2 linked regions of the Styela clava genome follow. The protein of the gene in region 2 interacts with the protein of the main gene of each other region in a pairwise test. Links are inferred from orthologs where the notes say so. Each region holds a gene or a part of one and is shown on either strand. Other genes may lie near its edges.

What was found.
Region 1: the proteins of E3 ubiquitin-protein ligase NEDD4-like (region 2) and arrestin domain-containing protein 3-like interact in binary tests that used the Homo sapiens proteins (3 or more experiments, as listed by UniProt). The link is inferred for Styela clava from reciprocal best matches to the Homo sapiens genes NEDD4L and ARRDC3.

Annotation. Positions count from the first base shown.
Region 1 is NC_135255.1:15,214,189-15,221,193, forward strand, and holds the start of arrestin domain-containing protein 3-like, read left to right. Parts: upstream 1-3,988; 5' UTR 3,989-4,060; coding exon 4,061-4,178; intron 4,179-5,030; coding exon 5,031-5,156; intron 5,157-5,400; coding exon 5,401-5,499; intron 5,500-5,917; coding exon 5,918-6,045; intron 6,046-7,005. UniProt on the Homo sapiens protein: Adapter protein that plays a role in regulating cell-surface expression of adrenergic receptors and probably also other G protein-coupled receptors.
Region 2 is NC_135257.1:7,635,144-7,642,218, forward strand, and holds the start of E3 ubiquitin-protein ligase NEDD4-like, read right to left. Parts: upstream 3,015-7,075; 5' UTR 2,918-3,014; coding exon 2,873-2,917; intron 2,329-2,872; coding exon 2,252-2,328; intron 1,936-2,251; coding exon 1,836-1,935; intron 1,115-1,835; coding exon 1,076-1,114; intron 228-1,075; coding exon 174-227; intron 1-173. Other genes in the region: kelch-like protein 7, read right to left, coding at 3,738-5,399. UniProt on the Homo sapiens protein: E3 ubiquitin-protein ligase that mediates the polyubiquitination of lysine and cysteine residues on target proteins and is thereby implicated in the regulation of various signaling pathways including autophagy, innate immunity or DNA repair.

The DNA.
Region 1 (7,005 bases), on a different chromosome or scaffold from region 2:
GGAGGTGTTCCGTGGCCGAAAAAGTTTGGGAAACGCTGCCCTAGCTTTACTAGGTCCTGTGTAAAGCTGGGCATTTCGAATCGAATAGTCAATTATTCGAATCGGTTCAGAGCAAAATTTTGTTTTTTTTCCTTTCCGTCAATCAATGGTCGAGGTGATTTTCTCATATTTTATCATTTGAAGCCATATTTTTTCAACGCAATCCAGACATGACTATTTTCTGTAGTGAGTTATTGATAAAACGTGTTTCTTATTGTGTGTGAACGCTCAGCAATCTGTCCGAGTGATTTATTCTATTTCTCTCAGTAATTCATTTGTTGACAGGACCAATCACAATAAAAAAATCGCATTCAATTATATATCTCAAAAGTATTCGAAATTCGATTCGAAAAAAATATTCGATTCGATTCTGAAATCATCGGGTATATATATTCAAAAATGCCCAGCCCTAGTCCTGTGGCAATGATGATTCATACGTTTTGTGCCAACGTGAATTTGAAAGCTAAATGATTCGACTCACAACCGTAGTATTCTTTAATTTAGAGTATTCTTTTTTACAGTAACTTACCGTACCTACCTACATTGCGTCACCGGTATAGAATAACTTCCTACTTCCGCGTTGCAAGATTTTGCAAAATAAAAGCGCAAATGAGACTGTACGCGGATTAAAAACGGGGTTCCCATGATTAAAATATAACACAGCGAAATTTTGGATGAAATATTAGATCTCATAGAATTCATAAAAGTAATTGGGACTTCCGGGTACAGTACCGGTAAAATTCCATACTTTAGTTATTGAAATGTGCAATTCATCTCGCTTTGTCATGTGACTTCATGAGGTATGCTTTGTTGATATGTGTAAAAAGTGCAATTCTCTTTTACTGCAATTGCTAGTGTTGTACCCGGTCCTATGGCGCGTCAATGAAACTCATTGTCGGTATTGTTGTATCTTTCGTTTGGCCCAGAAAGTCTTGTTTAATCATTGTTCGACTTTTGTTTTAGGCTGTTTTAAACTTTTTAAATTGAACTTGCTAAGCAAAATTACTGTGTGTTGCAAGTTAATTTTACAGACTCGCAACTCTTGGAAGCTGATCACGTGAGCTCGTGATGCGTATGTATAGTTAAAGAGAAATATGTCAGCCCACGTGATTTTGTTCACTGTACAAATATTGCTCCTTTTGTTTACAGCCTATATTAGAACCCATCTGACAAAGTGTAGCACATGGGTAGAATAAATAGTTTGCGAATGAGACGGGCTGTAATTCTTTTGACTTCAGATTAGTGAAGGTACAAATATCACCCAGAAAACTTTAAAATATTATTTATGACTCGGCATTGGATATCTAAATGGCTTTCGTACTAAAGGGCAGGCTACTCAGCTGACCCCTCTGAAAAATTGATGAAAACTCAAGGAGCAAAATGATTAGTTTTCGAAAGGACGAACAGTTAAAGCGATTGATAATATAGACCTGATGCTGGCACGTCTAACACTCCGAGTGAGATTATCGCCCTTGCGCGTGTGTATGTTGTTTTAAAGAATTCTATGTAGTTTTAGATTCGGCAAGTTTCTTCTACTGTTCCAGTTATTTGAATTGTTTGCTATTCCTAGCCGCAATAACAACGAATCACAAGCAAAGAATTGTATAACAGTAACTCGGATACGCGTGCTTGAGTATTTGATTTGAATGTTTGCTATTCCTAGCCGCAATAACAACGAATCACAAGCAAAGAATTGTATAACGGTAACTCGGATATGCGTACTTGAGTATTCGTAAAATGTATATATATTCAATAATTTCTCTCAAAACTATTCTTCCTACTTGCGTGTAGTAGGTAGGCCCTGTTTGACCTATATATGTGCGTTAATCTTTTTATTAAATTCCAATCCCGATTTTTTTTTGGGCATACTAATGTAATTCAAATAAACGAGGAGCATGATCACTAATTTTCAAGATTAGAAATTAGAGACGGTCGGCTGTCCTCAAATGGTCATTCTTTGTTTGAAACCGGTCATAAGATACTGGGGTTGTAACGATGCGCTCACCTTCGAATGAATGGATAAATGCCTGAGGCAAGTAATATATGTAACACAATGGACAAATTTGTTTTGGTAGTTTGGTTTGGAGGATGGTAAGGATAGGTATAAAACTATCGTTGGGGACAGTGGCGATTAGGCTGGTTAAGAATATATCGCCAATAGTTCAAGAACAGTTCTACTAGACAGCAGGGTGATCAGAATAATCGCGTTTTGTCGACAGGGAATGAATAAACAACGTGTGATAATATGAATGGATAGATATATTTATCCGATAGTCAATTTTAATCAACCATGGGCTGCAATTTTGACAAAATATTTGATTGTTGGGGGAATAACGGGATTGTAAGAAATCGGAACTTTTATGAAATCTAAGCAGGTGATGGATAAATTTTGCGATTCACTCCAAGTGATCCCACGAACAACCATGCCAAACACTTCGCATTGCAAGTCCACGTTTTATCATTATTTTTGTATTTCCGATGTTCGAAACACTTTTACATCAATTCATGGTGAAAAAATTATTCTCAACAATTTTGGAGCTTTATACTAATTGACAAACCCAACGATGAATGTTTTAAAAATTGTGAACTCGTAGTGTGTTTCTTGTGAGTGGTGATCTCGCTGCGAAATGACAAACAAAACCTTTATATACGCACAAAGGTTACGCGTGATCTGTTCAAAATATTGACTTGTTTTAACATGATAGTGAGAATGGGAATCGTGAGATGGATGTTTGTATGAGTTAAATGAGCGTAGAAATTTTACGTAAAGCGTTTCTCGTGGTTACGTGAAAGCTGTATGAGCGAGACGTTGAAGGCAGCGGTGCTTTACGAGTGGTTGTTGAACTGAATGGAAACAATTTGGTTTCCACTTTGATCCGGAGGTAAACTGATTACGTTCAAATGTTTTTCCAGTTATACTTGATAGACTAAACTTTATCGACATAATAAGACGACATCTTCTGTTGTTCCTAGTGACTATATTTAAATGAAACATGATAGGCTGGGATTAATAAGTAGTATTAGATTTCTGTACTCTTTGAACTCTTTTGTGTGCACCATTGTGTGCGGACGTATATACATGCCATTAAAGAATAATAGTCTAGTTTTAGTTGCCATGGCGATATAGTGAGGCTATTATGAATGTGTTCTGTAGTCATTTCAACGATGCTATGTATAATCGATCAGTTGACTTTTATCTGCGTGATACATATTTGCAAAGTTGATAGCATTACGTATAAACTGCTTTATCACTACATGCATAATATCAGCGTAGAACGTTGTTGAAGAGTACGAGAGCAGTCATTTTTTTATTGTGAATAGTTGTGAATGTATATTGGTACATGGTTAACGGTTTTAGGGCAATACAAAATTATCGCTGTGTGATTGAAAGGTATAAATTAATGAAACAGCCAGTTGAAGAATGTTGTGGAATGTACATTGCCAATTTTGATGGGTGCTTTACGTAGGCCTACCATATACGTCTCGGTTTAGCCGGGACAGTCCCGATTTTAGCGGGTTGTCTCAGCCGGTAGACGTAAATGTCCAGTTATGCAGTGAATGTTTTTTCAATTCGATGGTAACACAAATATTTTTTTAACAAAGGCATCCGACGTACCACTGATTTGCAACTCACTTCAGAAGTTCAGATAGAGGAAGAAATTGTTATGTCATGGTTAAGATATATATAATTATGAACCAAAATGTAAATTTAACACCCAACTAATATGTCGCTGAATCATCAAAATGTCGAAAACAAAGTGCAAGTTTTCTAATTAGATGAAGAAAAATTTTCATCATTTGGAGTTTTGGTTTTTTCTATTACAAACTATTACAGAACTAGCTCGGTTTTATATTTCTTGCAATACGAAATAGTATATTAGGAACAAACAATTATTCACTCGCTTTTCTGCGACTGGATCTTCCAGATCTATACAGCGAAGTCTATTTTGAACATAAAAAATGTTTTTGTAATTTAGAAAAAATATTTTTTACCTTAAAATTCCGTGAATAAATTCCAAATATGCCGAGTCTACAAACATTTCGAGTTATTTTCTCTGATCAAAAGACAATCTACAAACCCGGTGATACAATATCGGGGACTGTGGAAGTTTCGCTCAGCGAAGCAATGCAAATGAAAGGTATATAATATACGATATTTTTCCGTTCCATTGAATCTTTTATTTCATTATATAAAATTATAGCTTAACAATAATTTTTTGTTTTGTCTCCATTGGCTGTATATGGCATTGGCAGTGTATGTACATCACCGAAATGGCTGTATTTGTAAATTAAGTTGGCAGTATATGTATAAGACATTGGCTGTGTATGTACATCACCGAAATGGCTGTATTTGTGTATTGAGTTGGAAGTATATGTAGATTTAGTTGGCGCTATATGTATATTTTGGGATGCACATGTATATCACGATTGTTTGGTACATATACCGTGATAGATAGAATTTTTGTTGCAGTGTATAGGAAATTACATAAACGAGGTTCTTAAAATTTATACAGCAGGACGAATACCTTGTCAAATATATAATGTAGTAGGACAAGAGCTCCGAGTTGCAGAAGGACTTTTTGATTATTAATCTGTTAAACTAAATTTGGGTGGTGGCGTATTTTAAATGCTCGAACTTGGTTCCGAGCCAATGAATCGTCGCGACTTCTATATCTGTATATGAAGACCAATACCTCGGCTTCCATCATTGGGTTCAAAAAATGCTTCGACTCGAAAAATTCGACATTGGAAATGTCGAATCAGTAGAGTTTATAAGTACAAACCCGGCTTCAATTTCTATACTTGCAAAACCGACATCCACTGTTTGTGACTGCAAAGGTCACGCCTTACATGATAGCAGACGATCATCAATTATGATTGATTGCCGATATTGCAATTGAGAAATTTTTACAAGCATTCAAGTTGCAGCAAAATAAAACATTAAAACGAAATATTTTCTTCAGAATATTCTTTGTTTTTATTCACCATAGAATTAAAAGTAAAGATCACTGGCAAAGCACATGTTGGATGGCATGAATATTACGGACAAAACAATCATGTTTATCATTACAATAAGCAAGGTCTTTTCAAAGAGAAAACAATTGTGTATGGCGAAGGTACGTTTGTGAAAAATAAAAAACGTTAAGATTTTGTTTTACTTCCTGAAAGCAATTGGTTAGTAATTAAATGGAAAAGTGTTTAATAATTTGAATCTAACACAAATAAGGTATAAACTTTGTTAAAAGCAAGGTCACAGCTCTCAAATATACAGATCTGTGAGCCCTCACAACTATTAAAATCATTCCCGACTATGGGATGAAGAAACAGACCATATTATCAGTATTCAAATTTTCTACACAGGGGGTTCTAGCGCCGATGACGCAACAACTTTAGCACAAGGAAGCCATTCTTTTCCATTTAGCTTTCGTCTCCCATCACCTTTGCCGTCTTCATATGAAGGTAAGTCTAAGAAGAATACTTCGATTGGTTGATAAAAATCATTGATGTCTCTTCTCCATGTTTAAATAAAAATATTTGTGTTGAAAATAACAGACATAGAATAGCCTAGAATCTGGGCCCTAGATGGACATAAGATAGGAGTAAGATTCTACTAAATTTCGGGCTGTGAAAAACACAACATTACTCCATACATCGCAATATGTTTCACGTAGGACATTCAGATTGAGTACGAAAAATGCCAAGTCCTAATATATATAAATATATTATAGAAAATAAGGAAAATACCCAAACGAGCGGAATTTCGCTAATTTGCCCGACAGACCAGACCTCTGGCGATACTTGACTGATTTTAGAACAAGAATTGAAATTGAATTTCATTTATTGATAACTTCGCTAATATATATGACTATATATACAGATAAAATCGGGTACGTACGATACTACGCCAAAGCGAAAATTGTTAGACCGTGGAAATATGATCACAATACAAAAAGTATGTTTACATTGTTGGACATATTAGATCTCAACAAGGAACAGGACATGATGGTGAGAGTCAAAAATAAAATAAAATCCTTATATCTTATATATAGAAGTCAGTTATATATAGAACTATAGAAGTATAGTTCTGACGACAAGGCCATCTTTTTTGACCCTTTTGTGACGTTATGTGATTTCCTATGTGATGAGTATAGTGGGACATTCTTAATTGTTGCGTTGCGGCGCATCTCATCTATTCACCAGCCATTGTACAGCTTGTAGACGCTTTGTTTATTGTCTCTCTTTGAGTTGTATTGGGAAGTTGTGCCGCTGTTGTCAGTGAATTGCGTTCAGTTGTACGCGAGTTTCTATGCTTAGCAGAAAGCACGTACGTAACAAACTCGCTCGCTATTCTTTGATAACTGAATGTGAATACACAGTAATACAAATGAAAAATTGCAGCATTGAATAAGCTACTTCGATTCAAAATGTTAAGTAACCAATACTACAAAACATGTTTTTATATATATTTTATTATCTAATCAAGACTCCTCGGAGTCACTGGCAGTTATTATATTTGGTGTAGTTGGTTCAATTCCGTCTTAGCATTGTTTGATTATTTCATCTTCTTCTTATGAGGAGATTTATATTGACTGTGTAGGATAGGATTTACATATTTATCCCGGGGGAGAGGAAAGTCGATAAGATGGTTTAACCATATGGCGAACCACGGCTTCTCGTCCGGTTACCATTCCATGTTCGGTATGGGATTAGTTATAGTTATTTGTTATTGTAAGCATGGACCTGATGGTGGAGGAAGACGTAACCGAGCAGGGGTTAAGTGAACCACCCTTCGGCGGCAAGGAGTCCGGCAATCCTCTCGCACGTAACTATCCCCGCAAGGGATCCGAACCTGCGAACCCACGCAGAGTAATCAGGGGTGCGGTGGCTAGCGTATTCCTAACGCTTAGTACGATGAGCCACATCGCCGCGTTACCACAGCTATATCGGGCTATCCACCAGGGCATC
Region 2 (7,075 bases):
ATTTTGTTTATATTAGATGAATCTATAACATTTAAATTTGAAAATTTATAGCATTCTCGAAACCAAAGTAGCCTACAACTTCAAAATAAGCTCTCCTGGTATTTGAGATCATTTTCGCAAACTAAAAAAACACCAAATAGCAAAATATTTAGTCAATTCGAAATACAACTCACCACTCTGTTTTCATCAAAAACTTCAAACAGTAGTCTGTTTTCCTTTGGTACCACCTGATAAAGTGGAAGAAACAATTAAAATTTGACGGGAGCATATGAGAACAAGAGAAATTGGAATAACAGAGGCAAACTACATACAGGCCAATGATACTCAACAAGTCTGGCTATTACATTTTAAACTGAATTTATCACAACCTATATTATTATTACCGTATGTTACATAAGTTATTATTGTTCCACTAGACAAGTTTTATTCTAGAAGACTCTCAAATTTTTCGGAACTACAAAAAAAGGCCAATGAAATTCTGGCCATAATTCCGCTTTTGTTACATTACCGATATATATCATGAAGGACGAGAAATACATGTGATTGTGGGCTAATATGTATATATGTGTGCTTTTCAATAATTTACAGGAGTTCAATATTAGGATTACATATACTTATGTGTGATATAAAATATCAAGTAGAGTGCGAAACTGGTCCACAAAAATATTCTGTTTCTGATTCTTTGACATCATTACCTCACTTCCATTTTTGTTTATAGTCTTATTATCAGCATTTGAATTATAAGAAGTGGGCATGGCTTAGATTCAGGCAGCAGGTTCTAAGACATACCGTTCCAATTCTAATATACCAAAATCACATGATGTGAGCAAGATTTGCCTAATTTCAATTGATTCTTAAAACCTTGCTTCTGTTCAAACAAATTTTGATGGTTTGTTGTAATTGCAATGATCACAACAATAAATCAAGTTATTAGTTAAACTTCTCAGAGTGGATTAACAGGACACATAATTTAGTTTTACCATTTAAAAATGAAATTATTGTCCAAAATCAGTCAGAATCTCAAACAATCAATACATCACTTGAATGCTATCGGAGCATCCCATATAATACTTACTCTAAAAGTAAATTCTTCCTCCCATTTTGGATTCAAGGTCTAAAAATATCGGAAAATAAAATGAAATGGTTATCAACTTTGCTACATAATATTATTCTGAGACATACATAATAGAGGGAAATTGAAGTAGCATAATTGGCTGTGATCTATTATTTTTATTCAGAAAACCGAATTATATTGAACATTAAAGTGTGTACCGGTAAATAGAATAACGTGAAAGTGAATCAAATCTCAAGATTAAGTAAGGAAGTGATGAGTGCCTATTAGAAAAGTTTGTTTTGTCGACTTTTAAATCCAAGCAATTTCACCGTTACAATCCTAATTTTAGTTGAAAAACACATTGAATCATATTATGAAACTGGGTATTATCAAAATTACAATTGTTACCGTAGATCTTTCTTTCGCCAATATTAAAATATTTGACTAGTTTGAATGTTATTTCATATTCCATAATAGTAATTCTTACGCAAAATTCAGAAAATCAAAATTCAGAAAACAGCTAACTCTAATCCATGATAAACAAGATTTTAAACCAGTAGTAATGTTAAAGTAAATGACATTTTAAAACATAATATACATAGTCTACATAGTTTTATGTAAACAGTCATTGATCCTGATCTGCGGGGAAAGAAACCTAAAATGAATTCATATTTCATGACTTTACTGACCCCAGTTAAACATTGCGTTATGACTATTGTAAAGTGATGTGGAAACATCTATCAAATACTAGGAATCATATAAATCAGAGGAAATTTCGTACTTTTTTCTTTGTTTTGGTTGTTGCAGTTCCATAGCTTTCATAGGATTGCCCGAGTGATATTCGCTTTGGTCGATAGAGAGATACCTTCACGTATGGATCACTAAAATTATTAAAATCAATGATTGATTTCGCATAATATTTGTATGACTAATGTAATAATGTATATTTCTTAAACCCTCTTTGGCCAATCTACTTCAATCACTCACTAACGATCTACTCTTGTCTGATTAGCAGAACGCTCATCTCAAGAGCCATTTATTACACACAAGATTTTAAGCAAAAAGTACTTGACACCTTTCTTAGAACAAAGCTCAGATCCTTAAAATATGTCAAAATCTCTACCATAATAATAAAAAATAGTAATTTGCAGTAGACATAATGAAGAAACAGATATGCATAATAGGAGAAATTAGTACCTGGCACCAAATATATCCTTCTTAGCAAGATTATGACCAGATAAGACTTTTACTCTCACCAGTCTGTGGACATTCAACTGAAAATAAATCGAAACATGTTATGAGTTGCTATTTTCTCAGCACAGCCATATACACACACAATACAGCGAAGATTGCTTCAACAAATTCATTTAATGAAGAAAACCAAAACCACTTTCTGTATATAAGATAAATTATATGACAGGAGAAAGGAGTGGTTTGATTTTGGTGCACTTTCGAGAACAAAATAGAAAAGATGTCATTACTAACTGTGCCACTGGTTTCATTTTGCAAAAAAAGGAAAATTCTACTAGATATAATGTTAAACTATATGGCTATAATAAAATTGATTTGTAATTGGGATATATCCAAAAAATAGTACTTTGTGCACATTGAACAGAGTCAATTATTGATGGTATATCTCATCATGGTGAATGAAAATTTTTATAAAATCATGATTTCATAATAATATCAATCTTCTATTATGGTATGTTTGTTTTAAAAAACATTAGTGTGAGAATATTGAATTTCCAATATTTCAATTGATAAACAATTATTGTTTATTTATATGTTTATAAAAAAAATCAGAAAATATAAGAATACCTGGTGATTTTTATGTCCATATATTACTGAATCAGATGAGGCCATACGAAGAAAATGAAGATGACTTATGCAAGCTCAATCAGTACAGTGTCCTAACTATTAATCCTACAAAATCTTGAGTTTATGTACCAGCAGACAGTAATATTTATATAACTATAAGTTAGCTGTATCTACACAAAAAATTACAGGATTTTACACTTAACTATGTCATGCATCATAACAAAACAAAAAAGCAGCATAGGCCCAAGAGACATTTTAAGTTCTGAATAATTTATTGAAATCCTGAATCTGGCATACATGCCAGACAGAAAACTTTTTTATACAGCACTTTTATAGATAATATCAATCATTATTGCAATGTAAATATCCCAATTTGATTTTTTTATAACAAATAAAGGCAAATGGTGTATAAATCACTGAGCGGAATATGTCCCTCGCTCTTTGGTCAAAATATTTTTCATCAATGCAAATTAGGTCAACTTGAAAGACATTCAAAACAGAATACAACTTATGTATTAATGACAAGCAGCCTGGAGCAAACGGATGATTGAAAAGGAACAAAATGTGAGACAAAACAAAAAAGCGGTGTTTGTAATTGGCAGTGACTAAACTTCAACAAAACGAGGAACTACGGTACGTTGTGTAAACATATGGCAAACATAAATCCCACTAAATTATTTGATTTGAAATATACAATTCTAAATTATGTATAGCTAACATATTTACAAAGCTTTTTTAAACATGTCATGAATCGAAGTTTGAATACTCATAATTTAGAAACAATATTGTAGTAACTTCCTCCGTGATTTAAAATTGAATAGTATATTCAATATTCTTTCACAGCAGCTATAACAGAATATGTCGATCACATTGAAAGAACCCAAGTTATCTCTCTCACTGGTGCCAGGAAACGTGTTTGTCTTTCCCAAGTATTTTTCTCTATGTCATAAGCTTCCACTGGTTCTCCAAAAAAATTGGTCCCCCATATTCCAGAAACAGCATATATTTTGTTGTCGTGTACGAATCCATGACAATAGTTTCTAGGCATTGTCATTTGCAAGATGTCGGTCCATACACCAGTGATGGTATCATAGAATTCAGCATATGATAGAACAGTTGTATTTTCACCTCCAATAACATAAATCTTGTCATTATAAGTCACCGCAGCAGCACCATATCTAGGAGTCTTCATTGATGCAACTCCTTGCCAATGCATTGTCTTCAGATTCAATTTCTCAACAGTGTTTAAAGGTGTTTTTCTTAACAGACCACCACAGCTGTATATGCTATGACCAACAGCAGCCAAGGCATTCATGTCTTTTTCTTCAGACATATCAGGTAGAGGTGTCCAACGATCCTCTGGGACAGAGTACTTCTCACCTGATGCTGTAGTTTTCCCTGGTGATTCATTTCCCAATCCTATAACATAAATTGCACCATCATGTGCAATAGCAGGTGGTCTTGCACCATGATCTTTAAGCATACTTGACACCTTTATCCACATAGCATTTGGATCCTTCGTATATTTGAGTCGATATACTGACTTATCATCCGACAAGATGAATATATACGGATCAACATAAACAGCACTATAATTATCACAACCACTGATGGCATCACTGCTTACTATCTCTGTTTCTTCCCAAACCTTTCTATGGCCATCATACTCTCTGATGAATTCTGGAGATCCATCAAGAACCACAACTTTGTTTTGATAGGATGGAGCAACTGTCTGATCACAGCTCAAAGAAGAGACTTTGAGATGAGATTTGAACACAGACAAAGCTGTTTTAGTTAGACTTTCTGAGCTCGAATTGATGAGAACTTCATTTTCAACAAGATGTCTTCTATAAGGCAAACCCATGAGATTCAGATCAACAAGCTGTAGTAGTTCTGGAAACAGCTCTTTTCTAGGCTTGATGTCATATTCAACCCACTTTATGATTGCATCACAAACTTGTTCTTCACGAGTATCCTTATTTTTCTGTGATGAAACCAAATAAATCAAATACTCTGATTCAAGTTGCAGGAATGCAGTAGTTTTCATGATCGCAACAAAGTGATCAATAGCATACTTGTCACATTTTTCATCCAAATCCTTGAAATCATATTTTCTGGCCAATTGCTTCGAAATGAAAACATTCTCTCTGCTCATTTGTTCAGTAAGATGTTTCAATATGTTAGTCACAAGTCTATGAAGTTGGAAAACATCAGCAGTGTGGTAGACTTCTAATATATCATCGTTTTCAAATGATGCGATACCAGTGTAGATGTAAGCAATGCATATTCTAACAGCTTTGATTTGAACATCTTGGATTTCAACTGTTCCTTCCATGCTTTCTTTTGTGTCATGGCTGAGCATTGCCCGAAAGTAATCAGAATTTGCAGCAATAACATTTTTGTGTACAGGAAGCTTCTCCTCTTCAACTACTATAACAAAATCACAATAAAGCCCATATTCTCTCAAATTATTTATCCTTTCCAGTGAGGAAGACTGGTACTCGCTGTCCGCTATAACAACTTCCATAATCAAATTTTAATCATCCAATAACAGACTGAAGATATGAGTTTTCAGTATGAATTACATTGAAACTTATATATAGTTTTAAAATTTGATCTCAGTGATTTAAAAGTGAAGAACACGCTACTCAGCTAGTAAAGATGAGACAATGTATGTAGGCTATATGATACCGTACTAATATTATATTAAATTGGTATTTCTTTCCTTTTAGCAACCATATCAGCTGCAGCCTGCAGGCATACAAAAACGCCTCTCATAAATTCCATTGTTAAATATAAATCAAATCAAACGCAAAGCGCAATTCAATTTCAAATAAATACAGTAATGTATCCCAATTCTCAGTATTCATGAGAGTGTTCGAAGTTGCGGTACAAAGCATTAATTATGGAATTTGAGTGTACAATTTTTAGGTGACCCAATATCTCAAACACTATAATTGTTACTACAATAATATATTCATTTTTATGAACTATTGAACAATAAGCAACTTTAAACGAGTTGACTCTTCCACCCACTATAAGTGGACAAATGTTTAATTCAGATGTTATTTGTATATTTGTTTCATCATCTTCAAATGTCATGAATTGATTCAACAGTAAGAGTGTCATAATGGACTATATCAGGGATGGCGAACCTTTTTTAATAAATGGGTCAAAAATTACATTTTTATTGTGGTAAAGAAGAATGTGGATCATACATATTTAATCAAAGCCATCCCTGGGCTATATGGTACTGTAATACAGTAATAATTGATATGGGTAATGCAGTAATGAAGCACTCAGTACCCATATAGTGGCTATGGTCAGCAAGTAATGGTACATGAGTTGTTATGACAGTGTGAATCAGTGGCAGAGTTGTAGTATAAACCAACAAATACTATATTACTGTATTATAGACACTCGCAAACTGCCCAAATTCCAATTGTCAGATTCCAGTCGATCAATCTTAATTTGAGCTTTGGTCTTAACGAATTAACATTTCCAATGGTGAATTTCAACTAAAAAGTTTTTTCAAATCATATAAACATTATAAGTTTCAACTCCTAATCAACAATTCAAAAATATGAGAATGAAAAAAAATTATTTACACACCAAACAAGAATAGGATTAGACGTTATTTTATACCGGGGACTGGGGAGAAGTCGATAACAAGGTATAATCATATGACATACCATGGTCTACGTCCGGTTACCAGTCCATGTCAGGTACCATGTGAAAAAAGTTACCTAGTTAATTGTTTCAGATGCATGAACTTTATGGTGGAAGAAGCCGTAATCGACCAGCAGCTCCCTATGGCTGTATGGCGATGAGAAGTCCAGCAATCCTCCCACACATAATTATCCCCATGGGATTTAAACAAACCTTCAAACACACACTGGGTGCATCGATGATTATGCCACAGTGAAGCAATAAAAAGGACATATTTTATACCAGTGCTCTTCTATTATAACAATAAGGATATATAGATTTATGAAAAACTATGACAAAAAGTCCTTCAAATCAAGGGGGATTCCTGCATTTGCAGATTTAAACTTAGAAAAGTGGGTATAAGTATCGTTACCTATTCTAAAACCAGCATACAGGCATAACAGACAGACAGAAAATAATCTAAAGAAAAGGAATAAGAACTGATTATGGAATTTAGATAACTAGCAAAGCCTTAGGGTTTATTAAAAAAATGAT